Linked DNA regions of Kluyveromyces lactis. The protein of the gene in region 3 interacts with the protein of the main gene of each other region in a biochemical or structural test. Links are inferred from orthologs where the notes say so. Each region holds a gene or a part of one and is shown on either strand. Other genes may lie near its edges.

Region 1 (4,239 bases), on a different chromosome or scaffold from region 3:
GTATAATGGTACAGCTATTCTATTTTCTTCTACTCTGGCAATCAAATTCATTAAAAGATGAGCTTGCTTGCTGAATCCAGATTTGTGATCTGAATCAGTGAGGACATAGAAGGTTTCGCTAAGGAATGTGAAGTAATAGTTCTTGTAGAAATCGTTAGAGAATTCAGACGGACTAGCGGAATCAACGTTTTGAATAAGGTCTAAAGCAATTTGTAACCCATTTACCTCAACATCTCTGTTGTTGTGTTTGAACGCCCAACATATGGCATCAACGAAAAGTTTGAAAGCCGGTGGTGGTAGTTGAGATATCGCTACGAAACACTTGGAGTTGATGGCCCTCAATAATTTATAAAACTCCACACGATGTTCCGGATATTCCGTGAAATCTTTATTGATCATGTCTAATGTAGCTTCAAAGACACTCTGTAAAATCAAAATGACACCGCTGATCATCATAGGCCCAACTTTGTTGACAAGTGTGGTCATACAACTTAAAATCTCAGCGTCACGGGCATCTGGTACGGTAATGTAGTAATCCCGTAACACAGAGTCAAACAGTGCTGATGCCAAGTCATTTACGATGTAGTCTAAATCCTTTGCACTGGAAATGTATAATTCCATTAATTTTAGAATTTCTTTCTTGATTGTTCTTAAACCTCTTACCTTTGGAGTCTTAGTAGCAATAATCCCATCGCTGGCTACTTGTGTTGAAATACATCTAGACACAGCTGAGCACAATGACATCATTGGTGTGAAGTTACGACTCAACTGCGGAGCAAAGTCATTACCCATAGCGGAACAAACGGCAACGTTTGTCTTTAGAATATTGGTAACGATTTTCACAGTTTCAGGGTCCGACAAAATATCCAGATGAGTAGATGATTGCTGAATTATAGCGTCCCATGCCATGTTAGGGAGTTGCATCAAATCTGCTAGTAATCTTTGTTTTTCTCCTGGGTTTCTTTCATCAGAAATAATTAAACCGCAAGCCTTGTAAAATGTGTGTACTTGCTGAGGTTGAAGATCGGAGGTGTGGTCTTGAATGTTTCTAATTATTGCCTGGATGAAAGGTTCACTTTCGTTTGGCTGTTGAACGACAAAGTGACGTTTACATCTCTGTACAATCTTGATGAAGGTGTCACAGGCCATATCTTGAACACCCTCATGGGTTTCATGCATAAATTCAAATAGTTTTAGAATGACTGTCTTCAAGAACTTCCAATGAGCTTTTAAGAAACGTGGGTACTGACCGACAACGTACATAATGTTCGATGCAACAACAGCCTTGTTGTCCTTACCGCGCTTTTTATCAGTCAAGGCTAAAAGATCTTTAATGATTGTAACGACAAATTTTTTCTCAGTTTCCTCGTCCATAGTACCAGAAATAGAACCAATAGCCCAACACAATGTGTTGATGTTGTGCCATGACCATTCAGAGCCATCAAGTTGCTTTGCCAATTTATTCAACATGATGTCTTCAGTATCAAGAACATCTAAATGCGTCAAGTAAACAAGTACTTCCCTTTCGGACTTATATAACTGAATTGTGTCCGACTCCTTAACAAACTCTCTGACGATTTCACCTTCATCGTTTTCCACAATAAGAACTTCCTCTGGTCTAACCATCGATTCTATTATAACCCATCTTAACTGAGAACAGATGTTATCGTAAATGTGTTTCTTTAACGGGAACCTTTTCAAGAATTCCGGGTGAGGAGCACCATTGCTCCCTGAGAACATATTCGATCCTTGAGATAGTTTCAATAGGACGTTATTCTGATTTTGAGGGATTTGTTGCACCTCTTGGTACAAGGCCGAAACCAAATTATTCCAGTAGTCCAAAGTCGTTTTGAACAATTCTCTTTCGTCAATCTTCGAAAGTTCAATCAAATATTGATGCGCAGTAATTAATAGTTCCCTCAAGGATTCATCATCTTCTAATATTGAACGGTGTCTGGCCAAATAGGTAGTCAAGAACATGGCAAAATCTTGCAAAAATGATTGATCGTTGCCATTAGCAGTAGCATATGTGTTCTTCAAGTCAGCATTCACCGGTATAACGTTAACAGCAATTTGTTGCAAAGCATTTTGGAAAAACATTACAGTTAACGAAGCAATCTTTGGGTCATTTGCTGGAATATCAAGTTGAGAAACTTCAGTCAAACATTTCAAAGTAATAGCTCTGGTGTCAGCAGAGACTAAAAATTTCGTACTCAACAATTGCAAAATATCAGTGTTGTAGATGTAACGGTATGGGATCCAATGCAAGTATCTCAAAAGAGATTGCAAAGTGGCCACCATAAGGGATGGAGAAGATGCGGTTTCCAAAATTTCGTAACATAGATTGAAAATCTGTTCAAATTGTTGATCCATAGATTGTTTTAAATGTAGTGCTTTAGCTTGCGTCATTTGCTCTGCAGAGAAATCAAAGACTTCCTCACTTAATAACTTTAGCATTACCATGTTGTTTTCACATACGTTTACACTAGCTTGGGAACTGAGAACCAACTCCGGGATGAAGTCTGGCCAGTTTTCTGGCCAGTCCTGCTTAAGAATTTGAACCAAGGTTAAATCAGACTTATGAATCAAATTCTTCTGAGTTTGGAAAACCTGATCATCTTGACACATTGAAATAATCATTCCAACGATGAAATTACGAATTCCAAGTCTATGCTCCTGAGGTAACATCTTCCATTTCGTCGTAATTAACTTATCCAAAATGGAAAGCCCAATGAACTTCGTTTGCGGATTATTTGAATACTGCAAGATTTTATCAGCCCTTTGCCAAGCATCTGGATGGTCCTTCAATTTAGTAAGAACCTCTTGTGCCTCCTTTTGAGACGCACCAGAGCCCTTGAAAAAGGTATCCACCACTTGATCTAGGAGCTGGATGTCTAAGTCCCGAGAAAAGTCTAAAACAGCCTCCATATTGATTTAGAAAGAAGAACGTGTGTGTGGATCTCTTTTTACTATTTTCCTATGAGTACAGTGCAGTAGTATCCTTCTTATGAAAAGACCCTGATTAATTAAATGCAATGTCTTGTTCCTTTAGTCTGCTGTATAAATTCCACCAAGATTCGAATTCACAGCTGCAATTTCCGAAATAAATAATAAAGAAAGAAAAAAAAATACACCGGACTATAGTTTTCTTATTTAGCACTGAACAGTAACGGTTGAATCTAGTACGAACAAAAGTGACTCGATAGCACGCTGCCAGATCTAAAATTTATCTAACAAATACATGTTAACATTCTGTTTACTTTAGACCCCAAACCCTATCAATTGAAGGTTTTGGCTTTAGTAAAACTGCTTCTTTCGAAAAATCAATAATGGTAGGGTAACTAAATTCGTGCCTTGTGATGGCTTTAGGCGTGGCGCCCAAACATACACGTGATCTGAAATCTTTTCCTTTAGTTAATCAAAAAAGGTACTCTTCTGTGGGTATACAAGTCTATATATGTAACAAATGATGGAACATAAATTAAGATTAGGTACTCATTGATCTAAGATGATGATGAGGATGAGTCGGTTGTTCCTGGTTTGGTAGATGTGTCTTTGATCAGAGTTCGAGATGTATTTTCTTTTGAGCTACTTTCATCTTCTTCAAACCAGTGATTGTTGCGACGGCCTGGCGACCACATAAACTCTGATTCCTGGGTATTTAAAACAGGTGACTTAAACTCAAGCTCGAAATCTTCAGTGGATCCGTTTGGATAAGAGGATATTGGCACCATTATTTTAGGTAGTTGTATCTTGCCTCTACGGTTCAGTAAAAATTTCCATCTTGCGACAACCATTAGCATGGTATCGTAGTTTCTCTCGTTCCGGATCAGTTTATCAACTTTGTTCATGTCGTATAAATTTTTCACATAATCATCGATCCCAAGACATTCAGTCTTGTTATATGTAGTGTACAATGGAACTGTTTCCATCAGCTGATTGAACTGCACGGCGTTGTATCTCTTATTTCCCAGCTGAATTTCATGGACAAATCTGTTATAATCTAGTCGTCTGGCGTTCACTTTTTGATAGTCTATAGAGGAAAGTTCTTTGCTGAGTCCGAAGTGATCAATTTCAACATCATATGGATCGTTTGGGTTTACTTTCATGTATTTAGACACCAAACTCTTAACAGTAAGTCTTCCCTCCCAAATTTTAAACGAGAGGGGTCCATCAAACGAGTGCATGAATTTTGGTAAGTACGCGACATCAAATTGCCCTACACCATCAGGATCAATT
Region 2 (4,242 bases), about 720 kb from region 3:
ACTTAAGAGGGATTGATCAATTGGATGCAAGCTCCAGTTGCAAATCGAATGTACCAATCCTTGACGCTTTTCCTTCAATCTTGCCCTCATTAGGGTTTGAATCTATATTGGACGGAAAACACTTTGATAAACTCCGTTACCCGGAGTAAGGAGATCATTCACACTAACATGAAATTTTTTTTGCCAGTATATAAAATCAGATACATATTTCTTCGTTTCCACTTATAGGCCTTTCAATGATTAAATACATTAGAACTATTTTAGTTTAACCTTAGTTACTATTTGTTTCCTAAAAGATCAACATCAATATTATCGCTCCACGGTTATCCCTGTGTAAGATTTCGTTCTGCGCGGGGACCGGGTTATGTGTTGTTCACTATTTCCTGGTTTTAATAATTTGTGTTGAAGCGTAGATTTAATACCAAGTACGTTGCTGGGCGCCTGATATTGAGTCAATTTGATTATGATCTATTGGGAATCAGCTGTATCTACATTTTCTCCACTTTAATGACCGTAATGTTTATAATTCTTGGTAGTATTTCTTACTTTCGTTTATTTTATTATATTTAGGAACTTCCGTCGCGGTTATGTACAGAGAGCGTTACTATAGAGCATTCTTTCTAGTTAGATAATCAAACCTAGAGTACGTGTACCCGATGAATGGTAAATCTTCCTTTGCATTGGATTGAGGAACCCCTTGTTGCTGTGTCATCATCTGTTCTCTTTGTCTTGCAGCTTGTGCCATTGCTGGTGAATCAGGGACATTTTCTAATTCATCAGTTGGGAAGAACCTAGTATCTGTGACACTGGACAACTTAGGAATATAAGGAGCTTCCACTTGCCTGATAGTGTTCCAATCAACACCACTGAAGAAAGGATGTGCCTTAATTTCATCGGCACCACCATGTCTACCTAGACGATTTTCAGAGTGAGTTAACAATCTTCTGATTAGATCTTCAGCTTCATAAGAAATATGAATATCATCGGGGAATTGCAAAGTTTGTTCGAAATTCATGATCTTACGATACGTTTCTTGTGGTGTTTCAGAGCAAAATGGAGGCCAACCAATTAGACACTCGTACATAATAGCTCCTAATGACCACCAATCACATTCCTGACCATAACCTTGGTACAGGAAAATTTCAGGTGCAATATAATCCGGAGTACCAACAGTAGAGTATGCCATTAGTCTACGCGACTTTCTCCAAGTTTGCATTTGTTGTCTATTTGTCATGGTTAAATGAATGGCGTCAACCAACATTGTATTTCTATTACCATTGTTTGTTTCGTTTGGGAGCTGAGGTTTTTGTAGATTTAATTGCTGTTGTTGCTGTTGTTGTTGCTGTTGTTTCTTTGCCTCGTCCTCTTGTAATAACTTTTTGTAGTAACTTGAATCGTGAGTCTTATGGAACCCCGTACTCAAACCAAAATCTGATAGTTTAATGTGGCCTCTAATATCTATCAAGATATTATCTGGTTTAATATCTCTGTGAATAAAGCCCAATTTATGAATGACCTCGATAGCAAGTATACATTCTGCCATGTAGAATCTTGTCACATCTTCTGTGAAAATTTGCCATCTGATTAACATGGTCATCAAGTCACCACCCGGCAAAAACTCCATAATTAAATACAAATATTGTGAATCTTGAAAGGAATAATACAATGAAACAACCCACGGAGAATCACTTCCCGCTAGAACATCCCTTTCAGCCTTTACGTGAGCTAACTGATCTTTGTTGTACATTTCCGATTTCAGCAATGTTTTCATAGCATATATCTTGCCTGTGTCTTTCTTTTGTACCAATCTAACTTCACCAAAGGCACCTTTACCGATGACTTTCACTGAATTGAAGTCGTCCAACGATAATCTCGTTCTACGTAGTCTCAAAAATTGTGACTCCTTTTTACCTAAAGAAGCAAGCTGTCTATTCTTACGTTCCTCGGACCAGTCCTGGGATGCCAATTCGGATTCCAGTTCCAATCTTCTTTGATTTCTTTCAATAGCATAACCAACACTACTCTGATAAAAGTTCTCTATCTTGAGCTTAACAGCAGCTGCTTTGTCTTGGGTAGTTTTGGTCAATAGGTCAGGTCTTCTCTCAAAATACATGTAATTATTCGCCGATCCATTCTGTTGTTGAGCTTGCTGCTGAGACTGTTGCTGAGTTTGTCGTTGTCCTTGCTGCTGGGCCTGTTGAGTTTGTTGTTGCTGCTGCTGCTGCTGCTGCTGCTGCTGTGCATGATACGTATTGTGTTGAGGTGACTGAGGTTGGGAAGAGCTTTGTTGCTGAGTAAATGTTGGCGGTGTTTGCTGTGTCTGTTGATGTACCGATCTCACAGGACTCTGTTGACCATTCTGCTGTTGCTGCAGTGGTGGCGGGATGTACAAACCGGACTCACTGGCAACAGAATATTGACCGGGAGATGTATGCTGAGCGGATTGATATACCTTCGAATTAGAGTTGTTGTTATGTGAATAAATGCTTTGAGTTGGTGGTGGAGTCGCTGGATAATTCAAGTTGGGCACATCAGTAAACCCTCCATTCGGATAATATTGATTATTATGCGACTGAGGTTGCGATTGCTGTTGGGTCAGACGGTCTTGTAAAGACGGCTGTGATCCTTGTTGTTTCATATAATTGGTGCTGAACATGGGCTGAGAAGGTTCCGAAAAGGGCATGTTTCCCTGTTGCTGAAAATCGTTTGGACGACCAGAAGGCTGTTGATAGTAGTTCTGATTCGAATATCCACCGTACATTACGTGTTGTTGCTGAAGTAGCGACGTCCAAACGGCCTTGTTGACGTGAAATATGTCTCTAAACGTTAACAGTATAGTTTCATGTTCGTTGTTTTCTAAAACAAGTTTGATTCGATGTTTTTGTTTTTCCAATGAAATTGGCGATTATGGCAAATATTGAAAACATATTTTAGACAATGGAATGAAAAAAGTGGTATACATGGTGAGTATGTACATGTTATATTAGCTAAGGTCATATGTAAGCTTTACTGCCTGCAGGATCAATAATGTAGCCTGAGTCCTACGCTATTCTTTGTAAACAATTCTTGTTAATAAACTCTTATGCGTTCTGCTGAAAATTATACTTAGAATACGTATAATACAAATCGCAAAGTGAAGAAGTACCCAGTGGAGACTAAACTATACAAATGACAGATATGAGATTATAAATGTGATGAAAGAGTATATGTGAATTCGTAATACTTATAGAAAAGTTAAAAAATTGACAAATGGTAACAAATTGGTCTTCCAAAAGATAATCTCAGAATTGCAAAGCTTGACCCTTTTGCTTCTTTTCACCACCCAATTCGAAGTGCTTACATCTCTTCAAAGCCAATTGGGTCTTGGTCTTACAGGACATACATTCCAATCTCAAAACGACCTTCTTGGTAGTCTTAGCTTTCTTGTGGAAAATTTGCTTGGTTTGACCACCGAAACCAGATTGTTTACGGTCATATCTTCTCTTACCTTGAGCGTACAAGGAAGCCTTACCAGCCTTGTATTGGGTAACCTTGTGTTGGGCGTGCTTACGGCACTCCTTACCCTTACAGTAAGTCTTTCTGGTCTTTGGAACGTTAACTGTTAGAAATTAACATATCATAAGATAGTGATACATGTCGATGTTAGTAAAAAAATATTCTTTAGCTTCATCCAGCTTATTTTGATTGCAGGAATTCTATTCTCTTCTTCTTATTGTATAGGGAGGTCCAGGCTATCTGAACCCCAGTTGTTTAATACGACTGAGTTCCTGTTAATTATGTTCAGTCAGTGTAGCGTTGACTTCACTGATATACAATTCTCTGAGGTTGTCTCGACTACACCGAATTAAGAAACATAGGGACAACAAATAACCCAAATTACTTCCTCCAGCGTGAACAGGGTTTTATGCTAGTGAATCGTCCATACTTCGACCAAAATACTGATCTTTTGATATAGTTCACCAACTCAAATGAACTCTCCCCCCTTGTCGATGCAATATCTGAATTTCCAATACGGTTGGTGTTTTCTCATTGATTCACTCTGAAATGCTGTATTCTGTTAAATAACCATAGCTCATTTCATGTTCACTTGGTACTAAACTTCAAACGTTCCATTCTTCCCTCAGGATACCAAAAATCGAATAAACCACTGACAATCTCCACGGTATATTTTAAATCTTGTTCACATACCCATTGTGACTGATTTGATCTCTGTTGAGTTACGCTTTCTGAATGTACTGAAAC
Region 3 (4,282 bases):
GGTTACAGGCCTGAAAAAAGTTTCAACTGCAAAGGTTACAGATCTGAGGGTGGGGGAGAAATCGGACCTGAGATGTCAGATCGGAACTTCTTCTTCTTCCCTCTGTTTCTCAGTGAGAGCGGGGTAGATAGTTGATAAATCACTAACGGTTTTTCTGTTTCCATTGAATAAAATAGTATTAAAAACGTTATAAAAGAACATATTTCAAGAGTACTTAGTGATTTTGAAAGTGTGCAATGTTGGATAAAATTAAGACAAGCCAGTTAGTATCTGCTAAAGATAAAATTCATTCTGACGAATTTTACACACCAGTTGTAGTTTGATTGTACGTCAATTGTTCTTGTACGCGAAGCGCAGCAGTAGTGTGTCCCCTTTGGATGTTTTCTCTTATGACATTCGGCACTTTCTTCGGGGAAACTGGTTTCCTGATCTGATTGCCGCCATTAAGTCTTATAGGCGAAGAATCCAAGTGATCGTAGTAGTCTAGGTCATGATTTTGTTCTTGGTTGCACAAATCTTCTTCATCCAGTCTGCCCTCATGACTTTTACGTTCTTGATGTTTCACAAGAGAATCTTCTGAATGGAACTTCTTACCACAACCTGCACACGAGTAACCTTTCTCTAAATGCGATTTCTTGTGTCGTAGCAAATCATGGTTTCTGACAAAAGCCTTTTGACATCCTGGGAAATCACACTTGTACGGCCTATCGCAAAGATGGGTTTGGATATGAGTTCTCGCGTTGTACCGTCTGTTAAACCTCTTTTGACAATCTTTAAACTTGCATTGGAACTGTTTAGGTCCAATTTCGAGAATGTACTTGTCAATCTGTTCTCTAGGCAGCATGCCATACCGTTTACCGTTCCTTCCCCCACTTACCATGGGGCTGGTGTTCAAATTGGTGTTTAGGCCAATTCCGTTATGATTGGGCCCTAGTCCCAAATCGACATGGTTATGTTGATTGTAAGGGAAATGCACCGGTGATTCAGCAATACAATCGAATCGCTCTTGAGATCGCAGAATTGGAGATGGGGTTTGAGCTTGTACGAACTCGCACTCCGGTTCGTCGTTGTTTCCGTTATTCATGTTCGTTAGACGGCCAGATTTCATATCCTCTTCGCCATCACGTGATGCAAGAATAATGTTTCTAGCATTTTGACCTTTCCTATCGTCAGGCCGTAGAGAAGTCGTGACAGTTTTGTCAAATATTAGTTTCTTTGTTGGAGTATGTTGGAAAGAGTGTTTTACTGGCATGTTCTCGCTGTTCAGCTTATTTGAAAATTGCCTATCAGGTGATTGCTTCTGTTTCAACGGAGTCGTTTCGCTAGATCCAGGAATCATTGGCATTATCTGCAATTGCGGTGGTTTCTTCAATTGGACCCTGCTGTTCAGCGTTATTCCAAGTCCCAGACTGGGTTGCTGTTGGGTTTGTTCTGATTCATGGTCATCCTCACTTTGCATTGGGATCGTAGATGCCGTCGATATCGTACTATCTCTTGCGAAATGCTTGTTCTGATGGCTGTTTTTGTTGTTAATGTTACTGTCAATACTACTTGCTGTTTCTAATCCATCATCACTTCGGGTAGTATGTTTATAATTACAATTCATTGATGGGGTCTTTGGATTATCATATATTTGATCTTGTGGCGTGATTGGTGGACGATTTGAACTTTTCTTGTTATACACCGCACAATTGGATGGACCACGACTTTGATTGTCCGTCAACTCTTGAAAATACTTGGACATCTTCAATAATTGTTCCGTGTTGTTTCCGACAGTACTCGTGCTTGATATAGAAAAGTTCATAGGAGGAGCAAGACGGTTATTACCGTTCTCAACCCCATCATAATTATGTTGACGACGTCTATGTGGAGATCCGTTGACCGATGCCCTTGAAAAGGGCGATAACAGTCCATTCCCCGCTCCCACTGCATACACTTTATTGACATCTTTATTAGGCGATTCGTCCAATTTTGTCCTTTCTCCCATTTGTCTTTGTTGGGATGAATCGTCGGAAGATGGTGGTGGAAATTGATACTTACCGTTCTTACCGTTAGAAGTAATAATTATACTTGTCTCCGGCCTTACCGGTGTGGTAGTAGGGATAGAAGAAACTTGATTTAAAGTCATTTGTTGAGCCTCCAGGGCTCTCTGTAGTTGTTCTTGTTGTAGCTTATTCATTCTTAGTTGATCTTCAAGCTTTTCATTCATCTCCTTTTGTCTTTGTAGAGCCAACTGTAACTCTTTTTGCTGTTGCATAATCGTCTCGCTCATCTTTATTTCTGCAGGCTGGGAAGCCTGCTGTGCTTGCAGTAGTTTTTGCTGTTCCTGTTGCAGGAAGGCCTGCTTCTTCTCATCTAGATTGATTGTCATGGACCCTATGCTTAATGATTTATTATGCTGGGCAAATCCAAAGATGGCAGTACCACTTGGCTTTTTCTTGTGATTTCCTGCGGCCCCACCACCTGGCATAAGTTTTCTTGGAGTGATTGATGGTATTTCTGTATTTACATTTCCAACACCGACAGAAGCATCATTATCGTTTACTACATTCCAATCTAATCCGTTTCCCGGGAACATCTCTAGATCAAGTTTTGAAAGTTCATCCTTAGGAAGTACTGGTATGTCAAGATCTCTTAATTCTTTTGTGAGAAATTCTTCAATATTTATATCCATAACAGGGTTGAAGTTCTCAAAAGCCTCATCTGGAAGAGGATAATCCTGTCCCCCATAGACAGAACCCAGATTATTGGAATTGTTTCTTGAATTCAGCAAATCCATCATGTTTTCTGATATTTCACCATTGTTTCCATCTACGACATCGTATGGATTCTTAATCAAGTTGGACCATTGCTCTGTGCTACTCATTGGTCCAGATTGAATAAACACGGTTCGAATGTATTTTTGTTGGTACTATCAAAAACTTCTTATTTTAATCCCGCTCTTTTAACTTCAAGTCAACTTGGTGTTTGCGCTCTTACCTATGTATCTTAGTATTGAATTATCTTTTCGGTTCCTTGTTGCTTCCAGTCTTTCTTACTTCTAGAGGCTCACTTCAAAAATCGATTGCACCTAACCTAAAGTTGTTCTCCTTGTTAAGTTGTAATATATCTTATGCAAATGATTAAACTGCTAATATCAACGGAGTGTTTCCAATACCTGATGCAACCAATAACAATCGATGTTACAGATGTATGGGGAAGATGGGGAAAACGTAATGAAAGCTTCAACTGGAAGAGTTTCTTGTTATATGAACCAAACAACAGTTGCTGCAAAGTTTATAAAAGAGGTACATAGTTAAAGAAAACACAATTATATGTTTAGATGTAGAAATAGACAATGCAAACATAGCTTCAAGGGCATTATGCTTTGTTCGAACGAGGTTTTTGAAGCGCTATTACCCGATTGGGTTCAAATATCAACATAGCTGTTCATATCAAAACAAAGAAAAAAAAAGGTTGATGCGATTTTTAACATGGCTTAACTAATCGTACTAATTAGGAAAATTCGCATATCTAATCAAGTCATGTGACTGATAGTGACAAGCAAGTTTACCAATTCTGAATGATTTTCTAAGTCAGGCATGTGCCTGATACAAGACTACCGCTTGAAAGTAGTATAAATTGATATTTACAACCTATCAGCGGATTTCGAGAAGGGCATCGAAATCACGTCTACTCCAATCTCCGCCTTGATTTCCTGACATCTAAATTGCAAGTCTGCTCTCAATAGAGGTAACTGTGCCAACGCTTCCGTAGCTAAAATATGTCGTAGATATTTGCTCGACTTTTCAAATTCTTCCGCATTTTTAAATTGTTTATTGTTTGGAATAACTCCGAACGAAATGTGTGCTGTCTCAGGGTCTATCACCTTTGAATGATAAGTTGGCGGGACGTTTCTTTTTATCGCATCAAGAATAGGTTGTAACTGTCGCACTGATGATTTGGATAAATTCAACGTCAAGAACGTGAGACTTGAGTCAAAATTATCGTAGAGACGCCAGTTACCTGCCAGAGAAATTGGAATCGATTTATATTTCAAAGTGGTGATTTCTTTCTTGATTTGAGCAACACTCGTTGCTGTCTCCGCTCCATCGGTGAAATACAACGAAGACGTCAAAGACACATGTAAGGGCTTAATGGTACCTAGCTTTCCACGATGTAAGGGTTCAAAGTTAGTCATATGATGCATGTTCATTACTGAGTTTACGTCGTTCAAAATCATATCAAGCACCCGGTTCTGTTTGGAATCAAGCCGCAGCTGAAGAAACATATAGCAAGTATT

The links.
Region 1: the proteins of KLLA0_D16456g (region 3) and CRM1 form a complex in vitro, tested with the Saccharomyces cerevisiae proteins (2 studies listed by BioGRID, with this or other methods). The link is inferred for Kluyveromyces lactis from reciprocal best matches to the Saccharomyces cerevisiae genes ACE2 and CRM1.
Region 2: of the proteins of KLLA0_D16456g (region 3) and CBK1, one has a biochemical effect on the other in vitro, tested with the Saccharomyces cerevisiae proteins (3 studies listed by BioGRID). The link is inferred for Kluyveromyces lactis from reciprocal best matches to the Saccharomyces cerevisiae genes ACE2 and CBK1.

Annotation. Positions count from the first base shown.
Region 1 is NC_006041.1:1,429,064-1,433,302, forward strand, and holds the start of CRM1 (exportin CRM1), read right to left. Parts: upstream 2,929-4,239; coding exon 1-2,928. Other genes in the region: calcium channel protein CCH1, read right to left, coding at 3,504-4,239. UniProt on the Saccharomyces cerevisiae protein: Receptor for the leucine-rich nuclear export signal (NES).
Region 2 is NC_006040.1:668,491-672,732, forward strand, and holds CBK1 (serine/threonine protein kinase CBK1), read right to left. Parts: upstream 2,762-4,242; coding exon 605-2,761; downstream 1-604. Other genes in the region: KLLA0_D07788g (uncharacterized protein), read left to right, coding at 1-16; RPL42A (60S ribosomal protein eL42), read right to left, coding at 3,282-3,598, 4,189-4,192. UniProt on the Saccharomyces cerevisiae protein: Protein kinase that seems to play a role in the regulation of cell morphogenesis and proliferation.
Region 3 is NC_006040.1:1,387,545-1,391,826, forward strand, and holds KLLA0_D16456g (uncharacterized protein), read right to left. Parts: upstream 2,867-4,282; coding exon 302-2,866; downstream 1-301. Other genes in the region: USB1 (phosphoric diester hydrolase), read right to left, coding at 3,629-4,282. UniProt on the Saccharomyces cerevisiae protein: Plays a role in regulating basal-level expression of CUP1. Activates EGT2 transcription in the absence of SWI5.